4 linked regions of the Drosophila melanogaster genome follow. The protein of the gene in region 3 interacts with the protein of the main gene of each other region in a pairwise test. Each region holds a gene or a part of one and is shown on either strand. Other genes may lie near its edges.

Region 1 (4,216 bases), on a different chromosome or scaffold from region 3:
TTAAATTTTTGTTCCAAAGAAACCATAAAGGTGTGTACCATTTAGTGATACTGTGGGCATTGCCAATTTTTTTTATCACAAATCATATGGCGAGAAGTGCAATGACGAGATCGTTGTACGTAAGATAATATTTTTAGGTCTTCGCAAACGGCATCTTAAAAATGAACTGCAGAACTAAATGCTCTATAATTCAGTCTACTAGCGACGGTAACTAAGGGAATTTTAAACACAAGAATATGTCTATATTTTCGAGCAATCAAAACAATAATAGCTGACTAGCTCTTGAGACTGCGGACTTGTAATTAAAAATATTTAGTGATGTCGCCCTCAATGGCATTTTCAAAATATCAAGAATAACTCAATTTGAGTGTCAGTTATAGATAAAAGAATCGTTTGCTATCTCTCTACCAAGTTATGATTTTTAGACCACTAAAGTGAACAAATAAAAACCAAATGCTAAAATGTAAATTTGGTTATCCAGACTAGTCTAAAAAATAAATGCGTTAAATGGGTTAAGAATTAATGGCTTTTACTATTAATTTTCTCTTTGGAATTTTCGTTAATTGGAAAGGATAACGCCTGCATAGGTGGTCTATTGGCAAGTTCCGGGTTCTGTGTCTGCAGATAGTCCTCGGCATCCCAGGGCTGAGTTTCGGCCGTGCCAAACACCAAGTAAATGCAATTGCCCACAAAGAAGATTACGGAGGCAATGATGAACACGATCTGCCATTGGGAGCGATCAGACTGAAAGGAAAGGATACAATAAGCAATTAAAAATCTTTACTTCCTACCAACTTTTGCAAGCACTCACATTTTCCTTAACAATCCATCCAACAACTAAAGGAGTGACTATGGGCACGAAATTCGCCGCTGTATTCACAATTCCCATTAGAATGCTAGCGTGATTTTTCGATAGATCAATTGTGTTTAAAACACTGCCAATGGTTTGAGCACTATTCACGCCCACACTGATGGTCATCAGAGCAATCGCGAAGTTCTTTTGTTCCTTGTCCAAAAAGCCAATGCCCACCAAAGTGGCAGCAGGAATCCAGAAGGCAATGGAGTTGTAGGTCTTTCTCAAAATCGTCAAGGACACCGAGTTCTTGCCCAAGAGCACATCGGCTACGACTAGGTAAATATACGACATGCACCACATGGCCAAGAATGGGAGTGCCGAGAAGAACGCATTGCTCTTCATGTCCATGTCGAGGACTCCGTTCATATAGGATGGGATCTCGGCCTGCAGAGTGCTCAGTCCCCAGTTCTCAGCGCATCGTACTATGAGCAGGGCCAGGAATGGTGCCGACGTCCAAATTGCCTTCCAGGGAATGGGTATAATGGTAGCGTGGTATGACTCATTGTGCTTTAGAGACGACTCAATATAGATCAGTTCGTTCTCTCCTATGAAACGAGATTCCGTAGGATGGTTGGCAGCGAAGACGAACCATAATGTACACCAGAAGAAGGCCACTCCAGCCGAGACATATGAGATTCCGGGCCATCCCAGGGAGCTCTTGGCTATCATTCCGCTCAGGAACATGGCACTCACATTGCCGCACTCGATTCCAGTGTGACTCAGAGCTCCCAACCGATTTCTTTCCTCGGGCGGTGACCATTTAGCCAGGTGCTGATGAATGCAGGGGAATACCACTCCCTGGGCCAATCCCATTAGAACTCGAATTCCACAGTAGGCCTGCCATTCTCCAAATCCGATGAACAGCGGCGTCAAAGCACTGCAGACACCAGATCCGAAGACACCCCAAAACATTACACTCTTGACTCCAAAGCGCTTGCAGAGATAACCTCCAAGGAATTGCGTTAGGATGTAGCCCCAAAAGAAACTGGAGAGAATGTACGACTTCTCTGCCTCCGTCCAATCGTATTCCTAGTAGAGAATCTAGTAAGCTAAGTGGTATTTTCTTGATAGGATCCCTATTCTTACCGGAAAGTTCGGGTTCGTGGTTTCCGCATTGGTCATTGCCACCACAGACACGCCCACATTTAGGCGGCCTATGAATACGGTAGTTATATTGAGGAAGATCAGTAGCGCCTGGACATGCCTCATTCCCAGAACGGGTCCTGCAATAACAAAACGAACTGGTATTATCACTGTTACTTCCTGTCTACAAACAGTTGGGTAAATAAGTCTGAATTGCTCTTGAGACTCGGTTATCGCGCCATTATTGTAGTAATTTATGACCACTCAATGCGTGTGCGAAAAGCCCAGAAATCAGACGGAGTGCAAGGTCTGAGCCATGAAGGGGTTTTCCACTGTGTCAAGTTCGTTGGGTGTCAATTCATTCACAAACTCTTATCCGAACCGAAGGATTTCCTTTCACGCACCTTTGTTTGTCTCGGCCGTCATTTTTGATTTGGTCAACAAAACACCTCCTGACTTCTTTTAAACGACCGATCGGAATCACTGTGGGAAGTTAAGTGAGTGAGACCACGAACATAGAGTGGATTTAAATCCAAATTGAATTAGACGATAAGCCAAATGTTGCTTATCTGATACGACACGTCAGGTGATAAGGTCATACAGCGGGCGAATTTAACCATTGAATTAAAAAGCGTCATTAAAAAATTGTTGTACTTTACAAACTAGTTATTATGTCATTAGTCAGAATATTGTAAATCAATCAATAAATCATTATTTTCATCCATTTCTACAATTCTAGTAAGGATTCTGGCACGATTCGGTAAAAGATAGATGCCACATAAGCAACATGGCCTAAAATGTTAGCGCCAAAAAGAATGCATTGCTTTTTCATGGCCATATCGAGAACCCTTTTTCGAATAGGTGGGCATTTCGGCCTTCAGGTTACTTAGTCAAGAAAGAAGCCAAGGTTTTGCACCTTTAATAGTTAATTTTAGATATCTTGACGAAAATATCCTACCTGCAGTTCCTTTTCTACTGTTAAACGAGGTTGTTTAGAACAGCATTGCCTGGTCGTGTGGCGTTCCAAAATCAATTGGTAATATCAAGAGTAGTTACTGCCATACCATTATTGGATTGATTTATGGCCGCACCTTTGGTAAATTTGACGACTTTTGATAAGCAAATAACGCTCAAACATTTTAATTCAAACAAATCGTTTTACTTATACGTTTAATAAACAAATGAAATGTACTGATGTAGATCTTAAATCTTATTAAATTTAATAATAATACTCTAAATTATTTTGATTGCTTTGTTGTTTTAAATAGTTTCTATGTTAACTGAAGACTTAAGTGCTATCGATAGAACTTCAATTCAAGGACTTCGTGGAAGGTCATCAATACCTTTACCAGCTTCATGGATAGCTGGAACTTTAGCTAGCTCTGGCACCTTTACTGTGAGGTAGTCTTCAGCATCCCAGGGTTGTGAAACAGCCGTTCCAAAGTATAGGTACACCGAGTTTCCGACAAAAAAAAGTACTGCCGCAATTATGAACACTATCTGCCACTCAGCACGGTTATCCTGAAACAATCAACAGAAAGTCTTCTTATTTATACTTATTTATCACTGCCCTGTTTATAAACACTAACAGTGCAAACTTACGTCTTCATGAACAATAACTCCAACAATCAAAGGGGTTACTATAGGCACTACAGTAACAGCCGTATTCAAGATTCCCATTAGAATACTCGCATGATTCGGGGATAGATCTATGGTGTTCAAGGAGCTTCCGATTGTTGCTCCACTGTTGACACCGACACTGATGGTCATCAAAGCAATTGCCAGGTTCTTCTGCTCCTGATCCAGGAATCCGATTCCAATCAAAGTGGCACAAGGAATCCAGAAGGCCAACGAGTTGAAGGTCTTCCGGAGGGCCGTTAAACTCAGCCTGTTTCCGGCGAGCAGAACATCGGCGATTATCAGGTACACATACGACATAATCCACATGGCCAGAAATGGTAATGCCGAAAAGAATGCATTGCTTTTCATGTCCATATCCAGAACTCCGTTCATATAAGTTGGGATTTGGGCCTGGAGGGTGCTCAGACCCCAGGTCGCGCAACAACGCGTCAGCGTAAGAGCAAGAAATGGTGCCGAGGTCCAAATCGCCATCCATGGTACGGGAATTACGGTCTTGTGATAGTCCTCATTGTGCTTCAGAGACGATTCGATATAGTGGAGTTCTTCCTGGGTTATGTAACGAGATTCCACTGCATTGTCAGCGGCAAAAACGAACCAAATGGCACACCAGGCGAAGGCTAATCCTGCGGAGACATA
Region 2 (3,144 bases), on a different chromosome or scaffold from region 3:
TTGTCCCCCTAGGTTTCAATGTGGAGACTGTAGAATACAAGAATATTAGCTTTACAGTGTGGGATGTGGGTGGCCAAGACAAAATTCGTCCCCTGTGGAGGCACTACTTCCAGAATACACAAGTAAGTGTGATTTCAGCTTTTCCACAGATTCCAGAAAATTCTATATGATGTTAACAGCTTGTAATGATTATGCATTGTGATTATTCAAGTTTATTTTGTTTCAAGACGGGACTGACTATATTATCTTAGAGATCTATCTCCTACGATTCAAGCCAGGACAATTGGAATAAAGTTTTCATTTGAATCGTTACAGGGTCTTATCTTCGTCGTGGACAGCAATGACCGAGAGCGTATCGGTGAGGCGAGAGAGGAGTTGATGCGCATGCTGGCAGAGGACGAGCTGAGGGATGCAGTCTTACTAATCTTCGCAAACAAACAGGTAGGTCCAAGCAAAGGTTGTCGTTATCAGTAGCCAGTTGCTCGGTCCTTATATTGTCATACTAATATTGCACCTCGCTCTTTTCTGGGATCATTTTAGGATCTGCCAAATGCAATGAACGCGGCCGAAATCACCGACAAGCTCGGCTTGCACTCACTCAGAAACCGCAACTGGTACATCCAGGCGACGTGTGCAACTAGCGGTGATGGGCTGTACGAGGGACTCGACTGGCTGTCCAACCAATTGAAGAACGCTAATCGCTAATTAAACACTAAAATTAAAGCAACAATATGAATACAACTAACTCTGATTTCAAGCGAGCCGAAGCAGTTAACCAGCAACCAGAACCATAGAAAGAGCGGCTGAAGGACATCCAACATCCAGCGGTAAACGGTGGAAATCGACATCAGAAGGAATTTTCACAAAACAGCAGCAGCGGCACCAACACCAACAACAAGAGCAGCAGATCTTCGCATAACTTAAAGGGCTCCGCATGTCCGTATTTCCAAACAAGAAACTGAAATTGTTTATTGAATTGCAAAAACATAACCTTTCAAGCAGCATATAAAGAACGCTATAATATAATTTAAATTCGTATACATAATTATTGGATGTTTAAAAGCAAATCGAGTAAAAGAAAAGCCCAACCAATCACACAAGAAAGGAAACTATAGTATATGGTATAAAAATGTCTTTTTTAAGTTATTTTTGTCCTCTCCCTACCCCTCATCAAAATATATATTTCTTTTTAATTTTATAATATTAAAGTAATATTAATGAGAAAAAACTGTAATTGTAATTGCTCTTTAAAAATACAACAAATACCATTTTAATTTTTAACCCTTCTGTTTCTTGTTGTCGCTTGGTCACGCAAAATCCATTAAAAATCACGCATATATATAAGACCATATTAAAAAGGAAAGTACTACTTAAAAGGTAATTTGAAATAAAATTTAAATATTAATGAAAACTACTGCGCTGTTCGATTTTTGCACATGCGTTTCAAAAAGTCCGCGCAAAATCGTAACTGCCTATCGATACCCTGGTGCCATACACATCAGTTGCCTATCGAATTGTCTACACTACAATAATTTCGGAATTTAACGTTGAACAACACTCAGCGACCAATTGTCAGAAAAAATCGTCATTTTGTTTTATAAATTGGCAAAAGATTAAATAAAAGAAAGCACAGCATGTCCGCCAAGCAAAACCCAAAAAAGTTAAAGTGGGCGCTGGACTTTAACGGGAGGTAAGGATTGCTAGCCTGCGCGGTGACTCAAGTTCTTACCACTTTTGCTTTTTCCTGCAGCAAAAATGCTGATATTCCTTCGCCGCTGGGCTACAATCCATCTGCTTTGGTGAACCAGAGTGAAGTGGTGCGCGACCAGCGCCTGGTCATCAAGAAGTCGTGGGACCTTGCCCTGGGACCTCTTAAGAACGTGAGTAGCAGCCCTTTGGAAAGACCCGTGCTTAACCTTTGGATTCCCTCAGATTCCCATGAATCTATTCATCATGTACATGTCAGGAAACTCGATTTCCATTTTTCCCATCATGATGGTCGGCATGATGCTGATCCGGCCTATCAAGGCCATCTTCACCACCCAGGTGACTTCCAAAATGGCGGAGGGGGCCCAGGGAACTGGCCAGCGCATCGTCTACTTCCTGGGCAACCTAGCAAACGTGGCTTTGGCCCTCTACAAGTGCCAGAGCATGGGGCTCCTCCCCACCCACGCCTCCGATTGGTTGGCATTTGTCCAGCCTCAGACACGCCTGGAATATTACGGCGGAGGAATTTCGTTTGTCTAGTTTTACACATATAGATTCTCTTTATTTGATCATAGATAAATTGGTTTAAACTAAAATTGTGGTCTTATTCCGCCAGTCAGTCGTCTAGTATCTTCTTGGCCTCCTTTTTGATGTCATCCACTAGTTTCTCGCCGGGCGATCTGTTAAAGAAAATAGTAAAATAATTAAGATACAGAATGATAATATGATCTTATTTAGCATTGATTTCGTCATGGTTGCACCTGGCAACAAATTTTTATTCGGAAAAGCCATCATTCACCACAGTAGAAAGATATCATCACGACTTCGCACGCATTTTTTCAGCACTTTGTCCTATTTTCAGAATTTGTAAAACAAGCGCGTGGAAAGCTTAATATAAGATATCGAAAAAAAATCCAGGTTTAGTTGACAAGTTCGACTTATAAAATTTTTACAATTTTAATTACAAAGGCATTTGACAGAGTGTGGCTCGATGGACTTTTGTTTAAAATAATCAAGCTGTTGCCCCAAAACACACATAAGCTACTGAAGTCATACCTATATAACAGAGTGTTTGCAATAAGATGCGATACAAGCACTTCACGCGATTGCGCAATCGAAGCTGGAGTGCCGCAAGGCAGTGTACTGGGTCCAATCTTATACACCCTGTATACGGCGGATTTCCCCATAGACTACAATCTAACAACCTCCACGTTCGCTGATGATACCGCGATACTCAGTCGCTCGAAATGCCCAATAAAAGCCACGGCACTCCTATCCCGACACTTAACATCTGTAGAACGATGGCTTGCCGACTGGAGAATTTCAATAAATGTTCAAAAATGCAAGCAGGTTACCTTTACCTTAAACAAACAAACATGCCCACCACTGGTCTTGAATAACATATGCATTCCACAAGCCGACGAGGTAACATATCTG
Region 3 (4,691 bases):
ATCGCCCATTCAATAATAACTTTCATTTTATTGAATAGTTTTAGGAGATTACCATAACATAAAATAAACGTTCTATTCAAAGCAAATTCGCTAAATATTTCACTGAAAACATTTATAATTTTATGTAATTAAAACGTGAATTTAGAGTGAACTAGAAATCAAAATCAGAGTTCAAAATAATAGCTGGCCTATGCCAAAATAACATTGGAATACAGAAAATTCATAAATAAATCATCAATTTATCAATGCATAACAATTGCGCAATGTTAATTTTCAAACTGCTGTTTACCAATTTGCTCTTGAGTGGATTTGGTTTAATTAGTGCCGTTTCTGCTCTAACTGTCTATGAAATCAATTCAAATATCTAAACAATAAGTGCGTTCTGTAACCTATACGGCAGTGCAAATATAGGCCATAACCCATGCCCTCGTATTCACACATCTGAAAGTTATTTAATCCGCTCAGCAATTTCGATTGCCATTTATTCACTGGCAGAGTTCAAGACAAGTGCATTTCAGCATACCCGAATTCCACATGCGGACATAAATATTTGAGTAATTGATTTCCCAAGTCGACGATGGGAAAACTTCCAATTTCTTGGCTTGACTACTTTTGGGCCAATGCAAATGGTTTATTTTTGACCGCAGAATCCTTCGACTTGAGCGGACAGTTGAGGTTCTCGAACTAATTGCAAAATTGTCAATGATTTATTCAGTTGGCAATTAAGGTGCCAACTAACGGTGTGGCTGGCACGGCTATATCGATTTGAAAATATTCAATAATCCCGGAGCCTTGATAAGCTCATCAAACATGCACATGGCCATCAGCAGGGGGGGGCAAGTTTGTATTTAGAGCCAAGTGTGTTTGGTGAAGGGGGGTTAGCTGTATATTTCAGGGTTTCCCCTTTTTTTGTCGAGCGGTTTGGGGGGGGGTTTTGCGAGGGGACACAAAAGTACAAGTTGCTATGGATCAAGCTCAAGGCGTGGCAGTTGGGCATTAGCTCTATGGTGGAGCACGGCAACCAAGCGAACAAAGGTCAACTCGACAAGTGAGTTAAATGACAAGGACCTCACCTTGCCTTCCTTGGGCTTCGGCTTTGGCTTTGGCCCGTGCGTGTTTGCATGTTTGGCTCGATGAGGCGACGCGACCCCAAAAATGAAACTCAACTTTGGCTTTGACTGCGGCTCGGGATTGTGGCGTGCAAGCATTATGGCCTTTCGCTTTCAAAACAATGCCCCCATCCTGTTTCCCGGTTGGCCTAGTGGCACTTGCTCCTTGTTGTTGGTTTTTCGCATTGCCCTTGGCCAATTGCGAGTGAATTTTGATGTTTTGACTGGCCATTCCTGGGGCCATTTGACAACTCTATAAAACCGGTGTCCTTAAGCCCGCCCTCGTCCTTGCGCCCAACCCCCAATTACCGTCCAACTACCACCCACCTACACCCCGCTACACCCACCCACAAAGTAAACGTAATTGCCCGGAGAGTTTCGCGACTTTCGACTTGGCCAGCAAACTGAAAAAGCGAAACTTCAAAAAACCCGACTTGACTTGGCAACTGGAAAAGTGGAAAAGCGGAAGCACGAGCTTTCCCACCGAAAAGCTCTCGTGCTCTAAGCTTTCGTCCTGGCGAGGCGAAAACGTAAATGTCAGTCATGGAGTTCCAGTCGTCGGATACATGTGGAACACAACGAACACAGCAGGAGCCTCTCGCGTCTCATCCCCCGAATACAATGCGAAAAAGTCTGTACAAAAAATAGACAAATAAGGAGCAGGAGCGAAAACACCACTCTGTGCATAAGATATAACTCCCGCAGAACTGAATACCTGCAAAAAGAAATACGCGTTAAATGGAATTACGGTGCGGGAATTGATAAAGTGAAGTGTGTTACAGCTAGAAAGCAAGTGAAATAAAACGAATACATTAATAATTCATGCCCCTCATAGTCAGAAGCTTACTAGTTTGATAAGGAATTCAACGTAAATCTGATATAGTAATGTAGAAAAGTTGTACAAAGTAATATACATAGCATATAGCATATAGCACAGTTACACAGAACACACCGCAAACTCAAACAAAGTTGACAAAAAAAAAGCTCACGCCCCTCACATCTCAGTTTTTTCTCGAATTATTTGTGAAAGTGCAACAAACATATATAAAAAATAAAAAAGAAAAGGGAGGAGAGAGCACAGCAAAAAAAGGCAGTGACAGCAGGACCTGCAAAGGAATTGCCATCATTTGGGGATTACGGAATTATCGGGATCCGTTCTCATTAAAATGGATTTAAGGCAATGCCGATGTGCTGAGCTGCATTTGTGCATGGGATTATCGATTGTAATGCGCAGTCATCAAATTATGTTTGAACAACGCCGCCGCGACAGCGATAATAGCAACAATAACAACAACAACAACAACCAAATCAACAACAAACACTGATTTGGCCCCTGACCCCCTTTGGCAGCACCCCCTCCATCCAACACCCCCTACGACCCTGCCCAAGCAAAAGGAGCAGCGAAAAAGAAGAAGCGTCTTATGAAACAATTGAAGCACCGGCCAAAGGAGCAAAGGAGCAGACAAAGACAGAGACAAAAACATCGGCAAAGGATAAAACGGAGGCCGAGAAGAAGAGGAAGCAGTAGTAGCAAAGCAGGAAACAACAACAACAACAACCGCAACATCGCATTTTTAAACGGCAATACGCAAAGTAAGTGAAGTGTAAAGTGAGCGAGATGGCAATAGAAAGGTGTAGAGTGCCGCGAAGAGAGGCGGAGAGAATACACTTGCAAAAATGTGAGCAGCTAATTCCCAGGGATGTTAAAAAAAATTAAACCCTCATGGTTCAAAGATTCTAGGAGATGGACAAGTGATGAATGGTCAGTGGAAATATATGTATGTTTTAAGCCAAGTGAAATCAAAATGATTTGAGAAGTACAAATAAAAGAAAGAAAGGAAAGAATGATATATGATATTTATTGGTTGTAGTACAGGAAAATAATAGTTAAAATGATATCCCGGATTGATGGTCATTACAATGATCGTACCACAAAACTCTTTCTAACTCAAATTAAATTGTTAAAATTATTTTTCAATACAAATTTGATATATTTTTGTTTTTTCGCCGACAAGATGCATAGATCTTTCATAGAATCTGAAATCTATATCTTTTTTATATTGCTTTTGAGAAGAGTAAACCGATCATCATCTACGATCACTCCTTTTTGTTCTGTGTAGGTATGAAGAGAGCAGGTGGGAAGGCAGTGAAGTGAAGTGAAGCATTTGTCGCATTTGTGCAGAATTCCCGACGTAATTAATGTTTAAAGTCTGTGTGTGTGTATGTGTGCGAAGGTTTGTAAACTAGGTCACTAGGAAGTTAGCCCCTTGACGACCATCCCCTCTCATCAGCGCCTCTTCAGCGGCAACTCTACGTCAAAGGTGTCAACTCGCCAAATCTGCAACCACACCTTAGTTAAGTGAGCCACCCCGTAGCCACCAAAATTATCCACAGCACCACCACCTTTTATTCGTCCTTAACACACCGCCATGATTAACGCGCCTCAGTGCGATTAACTGGCAAACAAATTTGGAGTGACGCTGCGGCGATGTACATACATACATATATGTATGCATGTTTGTGCTAAACCGACAGCATTTCCATTCAATAACACACGCGGCTCGTATGCAAACACTGTAAAAAGGTTTTATGCTAAAAAAGACGCCGTATTTGTGCATGAAAAACTGTCATTCATCATCCAACCAACACAAATAACCGGTAATGGCATCGCCACATTATGGCTTTGTATTTTTTACATCCTCAAACACAAAAAAACTTTAGTTGATTTCTGACTTGCATCGCATTCATCACCCACTAAAGTCGAGCAATCAATCCTCAAAATACGTATACGCACTGTTAGTTCAGTTGATTAATAGGCTAATTATGAAGGAAACTGAAAGGAAACACTAAATCAATAAATCCTGGCAAATTAGCATCAGTATATATTTGTGTTAGTGCAAACATTTAAGTTTTCTATCAATTTTAAATACAAATATGTTCAGAATTAAGATATATTTCAAAGGGAACTATGCTTTGTTTAATTAAGATTTAAGGTTTTATAACTATAAAAGCCTTCAAAATGTGCCATCTATTTTATATTCACTTACAAGCAGATTTCAATCAAGACCACTCTTTAATATGATATATTATGTCTAGAACAACCGAGAAGGCACTCTTAAATTAAATATTTTAGTACCGTAATAAATTATGAAACGTGCTGACGGTAAAATATATAATACAATTCATACTTTAAGTTATATTTTTTTTTTGCCCTATATGGTTTTACGTATCGGTGTGTATGTGAGTACCTCGCACACGCAGGACATAGAGATAAAAAGGCTTCTCCCACATAAAAGTTCTATTCTGTTTTTTTTTTTTTATAGAAAAATATTGCTGGCAGGAGTTTAGAACATTGCCAAAGGGGATGCGGACAGATGAAGGGGCGGGGGCGTGGCGGGTAAAAGCCATAAAACTCAGGCGCCGAAGCGCAAAATGCCCTTGCCCTGAACAAAAAGAAGAAATTGAACAGCAACAACCAACAACAAAAACAAAGAAGAACAAGAGCAAATAAAATACAAACTGCTTATTTATTTATTTGTTTCGACAAATCTCAATTGAAACAAAGCTTAAAAGCTTCGAAAT
Region 4 (4,228 bases), on a different chromosome or scaffold from region 3:
GGTGTTTTTCTCACAGCCACCTAAAATCCGGAATCTTGGCGCTTCTGCGGGAGAACTTATTTTCGAACTGTCGACCGGCTCGACTCGAAATATTTAAACAATTCTTGACAGGAATGCTTAGGTCCTGTCGAAAAAAGCTGAATGAAACATCGATTGCATATCGATACATCCCTAGAGCCCAATTTCACTTTGCCATCGGTTTTTGAATTAAAAAAAAAAAAACAGAGCTTCTGTACGACCAATAACAAATATTGCACGAGGTAAATTTCTAACTAATTAGGTAATACGGCAAACGATCCGTAATAAAAGTAATTAAGCTATCGATAACAACGAACCCAACTGCTATAAATATCGGTTAAAAGCTAGCTACATTTATCGCTATCAAGCTTAAAATTGACTAACATTTTAAATTGATCTTAAAAAATGCTTTCTTTTTAGAGATTGTATATAATATATGGACAATATATTATTTAATTTCTAGGTCTGGAGTGTATTAAGACACTAATTGAAATTAGCCAAATTGAAACACAAAGTTCGTACATTTTGCTTCCTAACTCGATCGGTTTATTTTAATAACAGTATAAATATGTATGTATATTTTAGAGGGTATAATCCTCGCATCACATGTTCGTCTCCAGTGCTCACTTCCTGCGCTGACCACCACTCAGAATGGTAACGATGCGGATGAATATGTTCAGCACGTCCATGTAGATCGACATTGAGCTAAAAGATAGAACCAAAAAGTATAGAGTTTCAGAGCACGGTATGGATGAGGAGTGAACTTACGCGTTGATTGGATCGTAGGGAGTGTAGCTGTACTGGGGATAGACCTCAGCGCGACGGACCATGCGCTGAGTGTCATAGAGCAGGAAGCCACTGAAGAGGACGAGGCCGCCATATAGGGACATGGAGGCCAGACCTGCGAAAAGAGAGTTGAATGGGTTAACTCCGCTTGACAATTCATAAAATATAATGCGAAGTGGTGCTAGCCCCAGTGGAACTTTCTGGCAACTCACCTGCGCCCAGCGCCGTGGTGGGCGGCAGCCACATGGATGCCAGCGAGGAGGCGAACACCACGCCCAAGCCAATGGCCAGTGGGCCGCCCATGTAGAGGAACTTATCGCTGGGTGCACACGCGGCGATCGTGGACAAGCCACCAACAATGCCGCCCGTGTAGAGAGCGGCGCGCGTCAAAATCGGTCCGCCCATGAAGCAAATGGGTGCGATCACGGCGCCCAGAATGGCGCAGTGCACCGCCCAGGCCAGATGCTTGGCTCCCAGACCCGGCTGGTACTCAATCGAGCGGGCAACTGCTCCACTACCAATGACCAGCGCCAGCGAAGCAATGGTCGCCTAAGCGATTAAAGGCAAATGAAGAGGAAGTGTTATGTTCTGTTGTGTCTGTTGGTCAGGTAGGCGGCAAGAACTACGAATTGTGCAAGAGGACTCACCAAGATGCCGCCACGCGAGGCCAGCTCCAGGAGACGGTGCGAACGGAAGGTGGCTGCTGCTGCGGCCGCGGTGAGAACGCAAGAGCCACCGAAAAAGGCATAGGTGCTCTGGATACGATCGCGCACAAACTGGGGCCACATGCTAAACGGAAAATATAATCTCAGTTATTAAAGTCCCTGTATTTCGCAAGTGAGAGACTCGTGCTATCACTCACATGGCATTATCCGCGATGCTGGTTTGTTTTCCCAATCCCACGCCGTAGTAGCACAGGGCGCCCAATCCCACGGCGGCTGCTCCGGCGGCAGCGCCCTTGCCCATGGAGTATGCTGCACGCCAGAAGAGTACAATTAGACGACCGATATACATAGATGGGGGATTACACAAGAGACTTACCATTGGCACTTGGCGGACCCATCAGTTTCTCCTTCAGCGAGGGAGCACGCATCTCTTCGACGGGCTCACGGGTGCGAACCACCCTGCGGGCGTAGGTGCGCACCGTGGAGAGATTCAGATTGGGATTGGCATTGGCCCGGAACAGCTGGGCCGGAGACTGGGCCAGGATCTTGATAGCCCCGGCTGGACGGGCGGTGGAAAGTGCTAGACGCAGCAACATTGTGTTGTTGTGGTGAAATTCGGTTAGAGGGCAATTGGTTGTCCTTCGGTAAGTGCTGCTTGATTCGGATTCCTATGTGGGGCACTAGCGTTTCTTCCAACTGATTTTAATTGCTCACTGCGGCTTTATAATTTGTTGATTCGTAGAAATTGTTAAATATTTTACTGTCTCTTGTGCTTTATTATCGATAAGTGGTGCAATCGTTATTCGATGTCTGGCTACGTGATAACTAAATGCCTATCGCAGACGGCCACAAATACCGCTAATATCGATATTATGCTAAAATATAATATTGAAAATCCCGAGAAAATAAATAGAAATATAAACTCAACGATCCTGAAGTAAGGAATTCAAATCGTAGCCCGTTGTCTGAGATAATTTATTTGATAAGCTAAGCAATGCTATCGATAGGGCGCCAAGTTTGAATAGCGAGTACAGTGGAAAAAATACACTTCTTTAGACAAAAAAAATGTGAAATTTAAATTTATTTAACATATTCAAGTATTCCGCAATAAACTCCATTTGTATTTGTACACATTAGATCTGCACTAAAGACTAAGTAGTCCTAGGAACAGAGTACCAGTTCACTTCTCACACCTGATACTTCCTCGCCGACGCCGTGTGAATCTCGCCACGAGGGGGTGTCCGCCCGTCGATCACTATCATCTCAGTGAGATGGGATGATCGCAGAGTACCATAGTGGTCATATATGTTGGTCTGCTCCAGAGTTCCCCCCGAATTCGACTCGTAGCTCTTGCACTCATACAGTGGGCAGCATCGGGGATATTCGGCATGCGGGTTCGTCGATGGAACTGGCGTGCAATTGCCCTGCGTCAGTTTCGGCACCTGGCAGCTGGACCATGGATGAGTACGATGATCTGTTACCCGATGCTATGGCATACTAGTACGGCACGCTTACCTATCCTCCCAGAGTTGCAGCGTTTCCAGGCATTGGATGCGGACGCACTGATCCTCTCGCGTGAAGACTTCACCGATATAAAGCTGCCGACCCGTCAATGTATCCATACAGTACTGCTGATTGTACAGATACGCCGAGGCTATAGGGTGAAAGGGAAAATCAACGTATATTACTGGAAAATATATGTGTTATTTGGAAAAATCGTACGTCGATAAGGAATCGCTTGGCTGCCACCGATGATCAATGACATCATGGCCACTAAATAAATCATGCTGCTAATTGACTCCATTTGTGAAAATTTGCTATTCGAAAGAACTGAGATCGGCGGACAGAATTTGGCCCGACGTTTGCAAAGTTTAGCGCACAACTGAAGTCCGTTCGGTTAATCTTCGTTCATTTTTATATTAAAAAACCTAGAGTACATTGTTTATTTGTATGGAATCACACACTTACGACATTTGCGCGCTTTCTCTACAATAAATTTAACAAATTTTACTCGGATCTGTTGAATGTTTATGCGTACGAGCCTGCGAACAGTGCGTTTCATAGGTGTTAAAACAAATGTTTATGATATTGAAATAGATCTCAATACCGTTGAAAAATTCCCTTGCTTTGCCAAAAATAGATTCAATCATACAAATTTAGCTATATTTTCAGTTGATGAGCAACATCATTTACATCTTCAGACTCTTACGCCTTATAAAGCCATCAACTTTCAGTTTATATTACTAAGTGAATTTCTGTTAATTATTGGATTGACAGTTTCGGAACGCAACTTACGATGCTCTGCTTATCGCGCTACAAAATAAAATGGAAGGAAAACGATTAATAGCAATATGCAAAAAGAAACAAATATCGATCCATATTTTGTGTATTGTATATAAGTCCGTCTGACCTGCCTAATCAGCATAATAATATATACCTATATTCGCATGATTGAATCCACAAATATAGAAAGTACTTTCATTGGCATAATTCAATTAATAATAATGATAATTATATCACAAATAGAGCAAAATGTATGCAGAAATTAATAGAATACATCGATTTACTGCTAGAAAATGCAGATTTTATTAAAAATTGTATTTAAGTCGACTGTCTCAGTAATTGTTTGCTTCTGATTTTGAATTGGTTGTACCCATTCTCTTGACCGTTGATGTATAAAATTGTATAAACATTTGAGTTGAGATGCAAAGAATTGTTTACGTTTCGATGTTTTGGTTCGCGCCGGACGATCATGATCA

Evidence for each region.
Region 1: the proteins of GABA-B-R1 (region 3) and CG9825 interact in a two-hybrid assay, tested with the Drosophila melanogaster proteins (one large-scale study listed by BioGRID).
Region 2: the proteins of GABA-B-R1 (region 3) and EMC4 interact in a two-hybrid assay, tested with the Drosophila melanogaster proteins (one large-scale study listed by BioGRID).
Region 4: the proteins of GABA-B-R1 (region 3) and CG2076 interact in a two-hybrid assay, tested with the Drosophila melanogaster proteins (one large-scale study listed by BioGRID).

Annotation. Positions count from the first base shown.
Region 1 is NT_033778.4:22,835,585-22,839,800, reverse strand, and holds CG9825 (uncharacterized protein), read right to left. Parts: upstream 2,441-4,216; 5' UTR 2,366-2,440; coding exon 2,344-2,365; intron 2,080-2,343; coding exon 1,943-2,079; intron 1,886-1,942; coding exon 812-1,885; intron 745-811; coding exon 520-744; 3' UTR 510-519; downstream 1-509. Other genes in the region: CG12490 (uncharacterized protein), read right to left, coding at 3,254-3,460, 3,542-4,216.
Region 2 is NT_037436.4:22,866,643-22,869,786, reverse strand, and holds EMC4 (ER membrane protein complex subunit 4), read left to right. Parts: upstream 1-1,543; 5' UTR 1,544-1,634; coding exon 1,635-1,690; intron 1,691-1,750; coding exon 1,751-1,880; intron 1,881-1,932; coding exon 1,933-2,247; 3' UTR 2,248-2,323; coding exon of another isoform or gene 2,324-2,387; 3' UTR 2,388-2,612; downstream 2,613-3,144. Other genes in the region: Arf1 (ADP ribosylation factor 1), read left to right, coding at 13-122, 316-441, 541-705.
Region 3 is NT_033779.5:15,014,695-15,019,385, forward strand, and holds the start of GABA-B-R1 (metabotropic GABA-B receptor subtype 1), read left to right. Parts: upstream 1-1,636; 5' UTR 1,637-2,702; intron 2,703-4,691.
Region 4 is NC_004354.4:11,088,416-11,092,643, reverse strand, and holds CG2076 (uncharacterized protein), read right to left. Parts: upstream 2,435-4,228; 5' UTR 2,066-2,434; coding exon 1,846-2,065; exon of another isoform or gene 1,779-1,845; coding exon 1,667-1,778; exon of another isoform or gene 1,594-1,666; coding exon 1,452-1,593; exon of another isoform or gene 1,354-1,451; coding exon 1,017-1,353; exon of another isoform or gene 920-1,016; coding exon 787-919; exon of another isoform or gene 724-786; coding exon 642-723; 3' UTR 546-641; downstream 1-545. Other genes in the region: vago, read right to left, coding at 2,657-2,918, 2,985-3,123, 3,192-3,273.